Linked DNA regions of Caenorhabditis elegans. The protein of the gene in region 2 purifies or fractionates together with the protein of the main gene of each other region. This does not show direct contact. Each region holds a gene or a part of one and is shown on either strand. Other genes may lie near its edges.

Region 1 (4,729 bases), on a different chromosome or scaffold from region 2:
TATTTTTGCATGCAAAACTAAATTTCGAAGTCTCGTAACTTTGAAAAAGTGACCAACTATTATAGAAAATTCAATTTTATACTCCTTAAACAATGAAAATACATACTTTTCCAATACTTTATCAATTATTTGTAAGTATGTTCCCTAAATTTTATATTTAGCAGGAAATTATTGGTTTTTGGGTTTGATACTCACCGCGGGCCAAACTTTTTATTTTGTTTGTTTTAAAGTTTATATATTTTGTAGACTTATTTTTTAAAATTATTGTGTTGGTTTTCCAAGAAAAAGTGTATTTTCTAGGTTAAAAACTCATTTTCTCAACTTTTCATGCTTATTTTCAAATTTTCCATGCAATTTTACATTGGAAACCATTTTTTTTTGAAATTTTTGAAATGTACACTTTTGGCTCAGCCGGTAACAGAGATGACTGGTGAGAAACAGGTCCGGGGTTCGATCCCCGCTGAGGTCAATAATTTTTGTTGTACTTTTTTTGTAGTTTTTAGGCAGTTAAATATCAAAAGGGGGTTTTTTTTTCTTTTTTTTTTGAAAAGAAGAAGAAAACACACTTTCGTACTAGTCATGACAATTTCTAGACGTTTTGAACAAAATTTTCATGATCTACGAGCAATTTTACACCGAAACCGGGGGATTTTTATTCGAAATGTTGAAATGTACACTTTTAGAGCAACAGGTAACAGGGATGGCTGATAAGAAATAGGTCGGGGGTTCGATCCCCGCAGTGGTCAATAATTTGGTGACTTGACAAGTTTCAAGTATTTTTATGTAATGTGGAGTAGTTTTTCAAGTAGTTTTGCGCACAACTTTGAAACTTTTTGACGAATTTTTAGGAAAAGTGAATTTTCGTGGCTAAATACTTTTCTTGTCTGATTTTTATATTTATTTTCAAATTTTCCATGCAATTTTACATTGGAAACCATTTTTTTTTTTGAAATTTTGAAATGTACACTTTTGGCTCAGCCGGTAACAGAGATGACTGGTGAGAAACAGGTCCGGGGTTCGATCCCCGCTGAGGTCAATAATTTTTGTTGTACTTGTTTTGTAGTTTTTAGGCAGTTAAATATCAAAGGAGAGGGGTTTTTTTTCGAATTTCGTTACGAACCTTTGCAGTTTTAATTTTCACGTAAAATTTTTGAATAACTTTTCAAATTTTTACTTTTGTCGTGGGGTTACTGTAGTTCCAAAAGTACGCGAACACCGAATAGACTAGAATTTGCTTGGAATCAAGATTTATGAGTAAAAAATTATAAAAAACTTTTAAAAAATACGCACCTTTTCAATTTGTTGAGCCAAAATTAGTTTTTTATTTTCATTTTTCAGAATTATCCCAATAATTTTTAGCACAATTTCTTGTGTTATTATCATTTTTCTTATCAACATTTCCCCTTATTTATTCACCTTTTGTGCCAACCGACCTCTGACTGTCATGTTTCTCTACATCTCTGCCGCTCTCTCCGTTCAAATGAACAGATTAAAACCACTCTTTTTCGGGAATTTTTTTTAGAAATGTTTGTACAGAATTTTCTCGGTACTCTCTACAAGTTGTTCACTATTCTCACAGTTTTTGAATCTTTTTTTAATGAAAAAAAAAGTCTGAAAATTTTGCTCCGATGCACCATGTTTGCTTTTTGAGAAGCAAATGTTTCAAACCACCGGGTTTTCGTTTTTTAAAAAGATTTTTTGATGAAAAATTGAGGTTTTTTTTTTAGAAAATATGAAATCTAGAGAAAATTCTACATCGGAATCGCTTTCGGAAACTTCTGAAATTCGCCGGAAAGCTGTCAGTGAGGATTTGCAAAACGGTGAGTTTTTTTTTTCATGAAATCATAATTTTTAATATTTTCTAGCAAATGACAAATTGGACTTAATTGAAAAAAAAATCAACAAAAAATTCGCCCCAAAATCTTGAAAACTGACAAATTCACGAGATTTCTTGCTAAAAAGCAAAGGTTTTTTACGAGATTTCAGTAAATTTATGAATTTTTGCGTGGAAAACGTGATTTTCGTTAATTTTTTATAGTAATTTTCGAGTTTTTCACGTAATTTTACGGTAGAATCCGTTTTTTTTGCCAAAATGTTTAAAATTCACTTTTGGCGCAACTGGTAACAGGGATGGCTGGTGCGAAATAGGTCGGGGGTTCGATCCCCGCGGCGGTCAATAATTTTTGGTTAGTTGATCTGGCAATTTCCAGTATTTTTCAGTAATTTACAGTAGTTTTCTAAATGATTTCGAGCGAAAAGTTCAACTTTTGAGAGTTTTTAACGAATTTTCGAGGTTAAAAACTCATTTTATCAACTTTTCAAGTTTATTTTCGAGTTTTCCACGTAATTTTACAGTAGAATCCGTTTTTTTTTCTAAATTTTAAAAATGCACTTTTGGCGCAACTGGTAACATGAATGACTGATAGGAAATAGGTCAGGGGTTCGATCCCTGCTGTGGTCAATAATTTTTGTTTTGTTAGTTGTTTTTTTTTCTTCATGTTATAATAAGTTTTCGATAGTTTTTCTTGGTTTTCCCCCAGTTTCCACGTCAATTTCTCCACACCTAATTCAACAAATCTCATAAAATGTAACACTGTGGTTTTCGTATCCCCCATTTCCTTTTTCCATGAAACAATAAAACGCATGAAATTAAATATGCCCATTGCAAAGATTTGAACAAGGGAAATGGGAGAGGAGATGGAGAAGACGAAGAAAACACACTTTCGTACTAGTCATGGCAATTTCTAGACGTTTTGAACAAAATTTTCTTGATCTACGAGCAATTTTACACCGAAACCGGAGGATTTTTTTTCGAAATTTTGAAATGTACACTTTTAGAGCAACAGGTAACAGGGATGGCTGATAAGAAATAGGTCGGGGGTTCGATCCCTGCTGTGGTCACTAAATTTTGTTTTGGTGACTTGACAATTTTCAAGTATTTTTATGCAATGTGGAATAGTTTTTCAAGTAGCGCTGAGCTGAAAATGCAACTTTTGAAACTTTTTGGCGAATTTTCGAGGCTAAATACTTATTTTTGCTGATTTGTGTATTGATTTTCAAGTTTTCCACGTAATTTTACAGTAGAATCCGTTTTTTTCAAAATTTTAAAAATGCACTTTTGGCGCAACTGGTAACATGAATGACTGATAGGAAATAGGTCAGGGGTTCGATCCCTGCTGTGGTCAATAATTTTTGCCTTGTCGATTTGTCAATTTCCAGTGTTTTTCAGTTATTTACAGTAGTTTTATAAATGATTTCGAGCGAAAAGTTCAACTTTTGAGACTTTTTAACGAATTTTTGAATGAAAAGTGAATTTTCGAGGTTAAAAACTCATTTGCACAAATTTTTATGTTAATTTTCAAGTTTTCCATGCAATTTCACACTGGGAACCTTTTTTTTCGAAATTTTGAAATTTACACTTTTGGCTCAGCCGGTAACAGAGATGGCTGGTGAGAAATGGGTCGGGGGTTCGATCCCCGCTGTGGTCAATAATTTTTGTGTTGCTTTTTTTGTAGTTTTTAAGCAGTTAAGGGTTTTTGAATATACTTTTTCATGAGAAAATTACAAAAATCCCAAAAATTTCACAGATTTTCTCAGTAATTTCTAAAAGTATTGTCTCAATTTTCTATACAACTAATCTGCCTGGGAAATCTAAGGTCATCTGTGTCTCTCACACATTGTTGCGTAATTCTTAATACGCAATACCAGTAGCGGTCATTTCGGTTGGCTGCTGCCGGCGGAGGGAGAGAGAGGGAGACAGTAGACATTTACAAGTAAGTGAGAGAGTATGAGGAATTGAGAGATTTAGAGATAAGAAGGAGGAAACACTGTCATTTACCCATCTCACCACAAGATTGACCCTCCACGCGCAGCAGATGAGGTGAGGTGACTTACGAATTTTTTTGTTGTTGGATTTTTCTCCTTTTAGTTCAGATTTTCGAGTTTTTAATGATTTTACAAGAATTTTCAAGAGATTTCATACAGATTTTTGAATTTTTCATGCAATTTTACATAGGAACCCACTTTTTTTTTTTTGAAATTTTATGATAAAATTCCAATTTTGGCTCACTGGTAACAGGGATGGCTGGTGGAAAATTGGGAAATTTGGTCGGGGGTTCGACCCCCACTGTGGTCAATAATTTTTGTTTCAATGACTTGTCAATTTTCATGTATTTTTATGTAAGGTGGAGTAGTTTTTCAAGTAATTTTGAGCTCAAAATACAACTTTTGAAACTTTTTGACGGATTTTTTTTTCGGAAAAGTGAATTTTCAAGGCTAGATACTTATTTTTGCTGATTTTTGTATTGATTTTCAAGTTTTCCATGCAATTTCACATTGGAAACCATTTTTTGGAATTTTAAAATTACATTTTTGGCTCAGCCGGTAACAGAGATTACTGGTGAGAAATAGGTCCGGGGTTCGATCCCCGCTGAGGTCAATTATTTTTTCAATACTTTTTAAGGACAGTTTTTACTAGATTTTTATTAGACGTGGTTTTTTTTGCTGAAAAGTTTCAAAATTTGCGACTTTTTGGGTTATTTCCAGGAAAAATGAATTTTCGAACCAAAAAACCAAATTTTGCAAGATTTTACGTAAAATTTTGAGTTTCCCATGCAATTTTACTTCTGAAACAGCTTTTTTTTCGAAATTTCAAAAGTGCACTTTTGGCTCAACTGGTAAGAGAGATGACTGATAGAAAATAAGTCAAGGGTTCAATCCCCGCCGCGGC
Region 2 (3,626 bases):
AGTCCGGTTAAATTGGTCAATCTTTTCTTGACTAGCAATCCGGTGTAAAATAGATTGATCCACGTTTTGGGAATATGAGGGTTCCCGAGCCCGGCAAAATTGCGAACCTTAAAACAATCAAATTCAAGAAGGCTTCACGCGTAGTACACATGGTACGGCTAGCCGATACGGTCCGTGCTTGTGTCGGCTAACCATGCCAGGTGAATTCCTATAGATTTGTATAACCGGTGAGGTGTCGGGCGATGCAGGCCCAACTCGAAATTTGCAGCAAGATCGGCCTAAGCTTCACTATACTTTTACATAATTGTTCAGTTGGTCAGTCCCGGATAGCTGAACCAAAAGGGCTAAAACTATAGACTTCTAGAATTCAAACAATTGTTCTTATCAAAAAAAAAATTCAGACCTGGACGCTGACGAGGTGGAGACTTCGGAAACTTCAAGCTACACGGACCCAATTCAAAAACTGTATAATATGACATCTTCCCAAATTTATTTTCCATATCACTCTTGACTTTTTTTGTTCGGAAATCAAACCACCCGCTTTATTTTGCTTTTCACCTCATATTATTTATTTCGAGTTGCTATTTTTTTGAATTTTGAGAAAGATAAATATTTATTTCATTATTTATTTATATAAAAAAGAAACGAAATGAAAAAATACAAAAAAAAAAATGCAAACATGGATGGCAAATCGGCAGGAGGCTTCGGGAATTGTGATCAGTACTTGATGGACCTGAAGTAATCGGCCAGGGCTCCGGTGGTCTTGCTGCACATTTCTGGTTGGAGTCCTTTCTCGTAGATGGAAATAATAACGGCTAAAAGTTTCAGAGATTGTTTAAATCAGTCTAGTAATCCTAGTTAGTTCACCTTGGATAGTTTTGTAGATGAAAAATCCAGATCCTCCTTGCTTTCCAATTATTCTGTCATTATCTGCGTTGAGGACCAAGAATTTTTGTCCTTCCAAGCGGAGGCCGGTTCCAAGAAGAGCATCCTGAAAATTAGAGGGTGAGAATGATATTAAGAGAAGCAAAAGGTACCAAGGAGGTGAAGGCTTTTCCTGCGGCGACGGCTTCTTCGACGGAGATCTGGAAATACGTTACTATTCAAATTGTACTGCTTGATCTACTACAGTGCTCAGTGCCCCGACTCTAGCCTCAACTTATGTTTTCCAAAAAATAACGAAACCTTATTTTTAGGACTAAAATAATCCTACACTACAATATTCCTACACCATCTTCACCGACGATTCCTTCAATAGATAAAACGTATTTTTGAACAATAGTAACACTAAAGTACTTCTACAGTACACCAACACACCTTTCCTACATGAAGACTATTTTTATAACAAGCTAAATATGCTTTCAGTAACAAAACTCACGCAGGCGGTATTTGTTCATTATCTGTCAATGCACCATGTACTAATCTTTCAAAACTGGTGCAGACAAAATATAGATTTTGATAGAAGTTTACAGTGTTTTTAGATCAGAGATGAGATTCAAAGAGAGGTGGTGTATCGACCAGGAGTTGCATTCCTAGAGAAATACCTAGAATTCTAGCCTAAGAAAATTGCAAGTCCTTTCCAGTTTTAATATCTCAAAAAAGTTCTAACACCAATCACAAGCTGATCATGCCACTGAAAGTCGAGATTTTGGCAACTTGACAATTTTAAAAACTTTGAAAACTTACATTAAAGTTATCACTCTTTGCCCATACAGCTCCGTCGAATCCAAGAATGGCAGCCTTGCTCACATTTCCAGACCCGATAAGGTTATTGTTGATAATATCAGACCACGACATGTTTTCGTTTTGTGTGTGCTGAAAACTTTGAAAGTAAAAGTGAAAGTCTAGAAGCTCAAAACGTGGAAAACGGGGCACAATTGTGCAGTGCGTGGGAGAAAGAGAGAGAGATATGGAAACAGATGACGCTTGGTTTCTGACGTTTTCCAAAAAATCATGAAGAAATTATTTTGAAATAGCAGTTTGGAGAGATGAGTAATGAACACATGTTGATTAGATATCTGATCGCATGTCTGGTAAACGATTATGAAATCAGGTCTAACTACCTGCTTAGGAGAAGCTAAAACTTGGTTTTATAGAAGCTAAAACTTGGTTTTACAACAAAATTTTTTTTATAATTCGTTGTTAGGTAATTCGATGTCTATAAAATATTATTAGAATTTTCAGCGGATACTTTTAGATGGAAAGCGGCAGTTATTTTTATAGCAGTTTTGTTTTAGAAAATGACGTAAAATTTTCTACAAATTTGTGCCACCTTCAAATTTCTCAACTTTTACAAAGCATTATAGCAACATTAAATTAATACGACCAGGTGCTTAACATCAATATTGAAATCAGTGAAAGTTTGAGTTTGAGCCAAGAATTACAGAGCAAATAAAAAACCTTGAGATTTCTTGTTACCAGTACTGGAGAATTTAATTATTGAGGTTAACTAGAAAGGTCTCAAATCTAAAACCTGTCTGAGATTCAAAAAAAGATAGAAAGAATAGGCCCAGTATTTTTATCCTTAAATTTGAAATACCCACAATTGGATAGTTACTTTTAGGAATACTGTAAAAACCGGGACCAGAAGTGTTATCATGACTCGACATCTACCGGGTTACGCTCCGCATTGTGCTTCCATCAGTAGTGAGTTAGCTTATTGCAAGACCGAATCCCGGTAGATGTCCGGCCATGATATCATTTGGGGTGCTGATTTTTGGCATTTCCTCAGAAAATTATCCTCAAAGTGGATGCCTACTAAATTTCAAGATTTTCACGTACACGCACACCAGTTTTGTTACATTAAATGTAGTATTCGAAAAAAACATATATAAAAGACTTTAGAGCCACAGCAGGTAAATTATTTCTTAACAAAATTTTCATTTTTGGTCAGTTTTGCAATTTACCACTTTTTGATATTTTCAGAAAATACGGCAATATGGGGAAGACGTCATAAATAAAAACAATTCGAAAAAATTAACAAAAAGTGAGAAATCTAACTTTCAAAAAGTTTCAATAAACGTTCGTTTCAAAACCGGGACGCAAAGAGATCGGAAGATATTTGCGTGGGGTTCGTTGCTCGCTGAGCCTCTGTTGGACATAAAATGTGAGACTAAGACTGAATTGCCGCTCAATAGCCGTAAGACACCAGTTTGTCTCCTTGCCTCCCGTGTGTGTGTGTGTGAGAACAGTGTGTTGATCCTGAAGAGAGCGCGCGCCGATTGGAACAGTGTACGGGGGAATGAAGTACCGCAGATAGATGAAGGGCGGGAGAGGAGTCGCTGTGGCAGAGGAGAGCCTATCCCCGGGGCAGAACTCGACAATCATAGTGTAAAGCTGTCGTTTGCTCTATGTCTTTTTCTCTCATTTGCTTTATCTGCAGGTTCCACTGACGCGACGAAAACATTCAAGAGAGAGAAAGGGAAACGGATAGCCCCGCTCACCGACGGCCATCGAAATTTCAAAAACTATTGATTGATTTGCAAGGAAAGTGTCTAATGAGATCAATGTCGAATTTTTGATTTGCGGCTTGCACGCTGAAACATAAGGATGCTTTTTAGGACGGCTCATTTTGGCGTCCACTCAACAGGAAACGTCAGCCTAAAAATTGAATCTAGATAAAATTT
Region 3 (3,273 bases), on a different chromosome or scaffold from region 2:
GTCCAGTTCCAGTACCTGTAAATAGTAAACTTTAAAAACCGAATAAGTTGAAAACTTAACAGCTAACCAATATCTAAAACATGAACTTTCCCATCTGTATTTTCATGTTTTTTCTCAGCAATCGTAGTTTTTAATCCTGCGAGGAACTTGTCATTTCTATCAAAATCCAGAATCATATCTCCAAATCGACTTCTGAAAATTAACGTTTTAAAGCAAGAAAATGCGAGAAGTATTGTTTATTAAATTTTATTTCTATGCGGAATATTTTTTTAAAGTTGAAAACCTGGCAAGTTCCTGAGCCATATCATAATCCTCTTCAGCCACAACCCATTCTCGTTCGCCGGTTTTTTGATTTATCTTCTCAAGGAACATTTTTCAGAAAACCCTGCAAATTGTCTATCTTAAAGATATGCTCGTTTTAATGATACACTCAAGATATTTGCGATATGCACACAACTGCCAATTTACCACTTTAAAATCCAAAGAAACGAAATCAAGGAACGGAAGACTTATTTTTCATATTTGTTCAAATAAAAGGGGTTCATGCAATAAAAATAGTGCAATCAATTGGGAAATTGGGAAACTATACACAAAAATGTAAAAATAAATATGAAATAAACAGGAGCCAGAAAATGGAAATCAATGGGAAAGAAGTGGTGATGGGGACAAAGTACACAATTTCGAAAAATACCGCATTTTGGTGGAGGGATGGAAACAATATTTTGATGGGCCGAGATTAAATTGGAAAAAAGCTTCTAAAAACTCACTTTTTGAAAACTAAATATCTCAAAAGATCAGAAAGCGTTACTCATTTTTTGTTATGTAAAAATATGATAAGAAAACATTATCATTTTTTAAAAGTTTCCTTCTGTTTATTGAAACAGACAGCGTTAAAACTATAACTCTGGGTATTTTGAGATTTTTCTCGTGAGCGGAGAATTTAGAAACATTTTAAAATTTAAGCGGTACGAATTTTGCCAGGCACGTAGTTTTTGTCAATAGTTGGCTCCTGGAGGAAAATATGGAGAGAGCGTTCGTTTTGAGCAAGTGGATGTCCAGCAACCCTGCAAGAACATATTATTAAAACTTTTAGAAATGTGAAAATTTTCTGAGTTCATTTTGATGTCCGTATAGTTGAACAGTTTTACGTACTTATTGATGAATAACTCGAGAGCTTTGCGCCTATTTTCAATGAATTCCTCTTCAAAAATTCCATCATCGGATCGGAATGGCAGTTGCCGTTTGAATGATTTTCCTGGCAACGTTGGAACCACAATCTTGCTATCTCGCTCTAGTTCAGCACGAACCCATTCGAAATCACTGTATCGGCGACGCACGCTTGATTCTTTCTGCTTGAAAACGGGGAGATTCGACTGAAACAACGATTTTATTATGCGGTCAGTGTTAATCTATACTTACTCTCATTCTGATTTCGTAATCCGTGTAGCGCATTTTTCCAACACCATGAGTGATAGGATTGATAACCTGCAAGTTATCTTGATCTAATTCATTGATTTTTATTCAAACCTCAATTTCAAGGAAGTTGGCCGGCGGGGCATATGCCTCGTCCAGCGTTTGCCGTTTTGAAGGGATCCGCTGAGTTGCCGACGCGCCGGATGCCATTTGCACTGCAAATATTCTAAATTATATCAAAGTTGCTTTGAATTGTTTATTTAAGTATCGATTTTCACAATATAAACAAAATAAAAGTGAAATTTATGTTGGAATCCAAAGCTTTAATCGACAACATGCGAGAACATCGTTTGCTTTTTGTTTCGCTGTTCGGCAAACTAAAATGGAAAAAATAATATGAAGCTGTGAAAAATCAATAAATAAAACTGGAATTTCAAGGAAATTACGGCAAAAATGACTCATCGCGCGCCGATAAACAAAACGAATCAAGAAATGAAAAAAGTGGCAAAAGTACGCAAACACTTTTGTGTTAATGCACACAAAAAATTCAACCGTACCTCAAACTGAAATTTCAAAAGCAGACACCGCAGATTCATGGAATGAAAAAGCAGTGACTCGCTATGACTCAAAATTTTAAAAAGATTATAATTGATTCAAAAGCAAAAAAATGTTTCACAACAAATCTATGTTGTAAAATAATTGTTAAATTGAAAATTAATAGCTGACACCGCCCTGTGTCCGTGTTTCGTCTTCTTCGAAACTTTGTTTTCGTTCAAGATGGCGCGGCGCCGTTCTTTTTGAATAAAAAGAGCATTTTAAAAATTTTGTTGAATTTCTGTAAATTCTACTTGTTTATTCAGTTGTTCTGCGAAATTAAAGATTTTCTTAGTTTTCAGGAATGCCAAAAAAAACGTTCGAAAATTTAGAAGATAGTCATGGAAAAGATGTTAATATCCCAGTTGAACTGCCAAAAAGGAAACGAGAAGTTACACCGGAAAATTTGTGAGCTTTTATAAAAAATTCAAATTTTAACACATACCGTATTCCCTCTATTAGTCTTGCATGCAAGACTAATAGAGGAAATACGGTAATAGTCATGCACCCCTATTCTTGCCAGGCCAGCAGTATTTTGTCAAAACTTCAAAATTTTCGCCATTTTTTAGCTAAATTAAATTTTAAACTGTTCAAGTAATTGATAAAACAATAGAAAAGCATGTATTTTGCATGATTTAGACTGTTTCAAGTCAAAATTTTGACGATAAATGGCCAATTTAACAAAGCTATTGGATCTTCGAAAATTAGTCTTGTAGCCTCTAATAGTCTTGCAGTCCCTATTAGTCTTGCACCCCTACGGGTCTATTGAAAATTAGTCTTGCATGCAAGACTAATAGAGGAAATGCGGTATATTATTTTCAGACCTTCCACAAGCTCTACTGCTCCAACACAAAAACGGAAAAGTCTAGGATATTCAGGACGAACGGAGGAACCGAAAAATGTATTAATATTTTTAGTTGCAATGAAATACAATTCGGAACTTAATTGTAATTGTAATTTTTAATGTTTTTCAGATACACAAAACCTTCATTTCCCCTTTTTCTACGTCAGTTTCTCCTTCAAAACAAGGTCTTCGACGACGAAAGAAGGCACTGCCTGCCATAGAACCACCTGTATCTGTAGAAGAAGCAAGTCCATTACGTTTTGTGAATATCGATGTATTCTCTAGACGTATGGCTTCCGAATCATCAGATCACGATGCTATGATTGCGAAGTTGTTGTCGAGAAAGTTTTCAATTCCGATGGAGGGATATATGTGTAAGAAAACATGTAAAAATGTTTATTTTAAACGAGTTTTCAGTATCT

The links.
Region 1: the proteins of pfn-3 (region 2) and frl-1 fractionate together in Caenorhabditis elegans (co-fractionation; one large-scale study listed by BioGRID). This does not show direct contact.
Region 3: the proteins of pfn-3 (region 2) and snx-3 fractionate together in Caenorhabditis elegans (co-fractionation; one large-scale study listed by BioGRID). This does not show direct contact.

Annotation. Positions count from the first base shown.
Region 1 is NC_003281.10:2,122,410-2,127,138, forward strand, and holds the start of frl-1 (GBD/FH3 domain-containing protein), read left to right. Parts: upstream 1-1,727; 5' UTR 1,728-1,732; coding exon 1,733-1,820; intron 1,821-4,729.
Region 2 is NC_003284.9:1,078,829-1,082,454, forward strand, and holds pfn-3 (Profilin-3), read right to left. Parts: upstream 1,822-3,626; 5' UTR 1,798-1,821; coding exon 1,687-1,797; intron 1,086-1,686; coding exon 1,038-1,085; intron 992-1,037; coding exon 868-991; intron 816-867; coding exon 718-815; 3' UTR 602-717; downstream 1-601. Other genes in the region: LIM/homeobox protein lim-6, read left to right, coding at 402-511. UniProt on the Caenorhabditis elegans protein: Binds to actin and affects the structure of the cytoskeleton. At high concentrations, profilin prevents the polymerization of actin, whereas it enhances it at low concentrations. By binding to PIP2, it inhibits the formation of IP3 and DG.
Region 3 is NC_003279.8:9,062,776-9,066,048, forward strand, and holds snx-3 (Sorting nexin-3), read right to left. Parts: upstream 1,629-3,273; 5' UTR 1,624-1,628; coding exon 1,528-1,623; intron 1,486-1,527; coding exon 1,420-1,485; intron 1,374-1,419; coding exon 1,153-1,373; intron 1,065-1,152; coding exon 959-1,064; 3' UTR 503-958; downstream 1-502. Other genes in the region: prmt-7 (Protein arginine N-methyltransferase 7), read right to left, coding at 1-15, 68-192, 284-372; rad-54.L (DNA repair and recombination protein RAD54-like), read left to right, coding at 2,312-2,415, 2,830-2,908, 2,982-3,225, 3,269-3,273.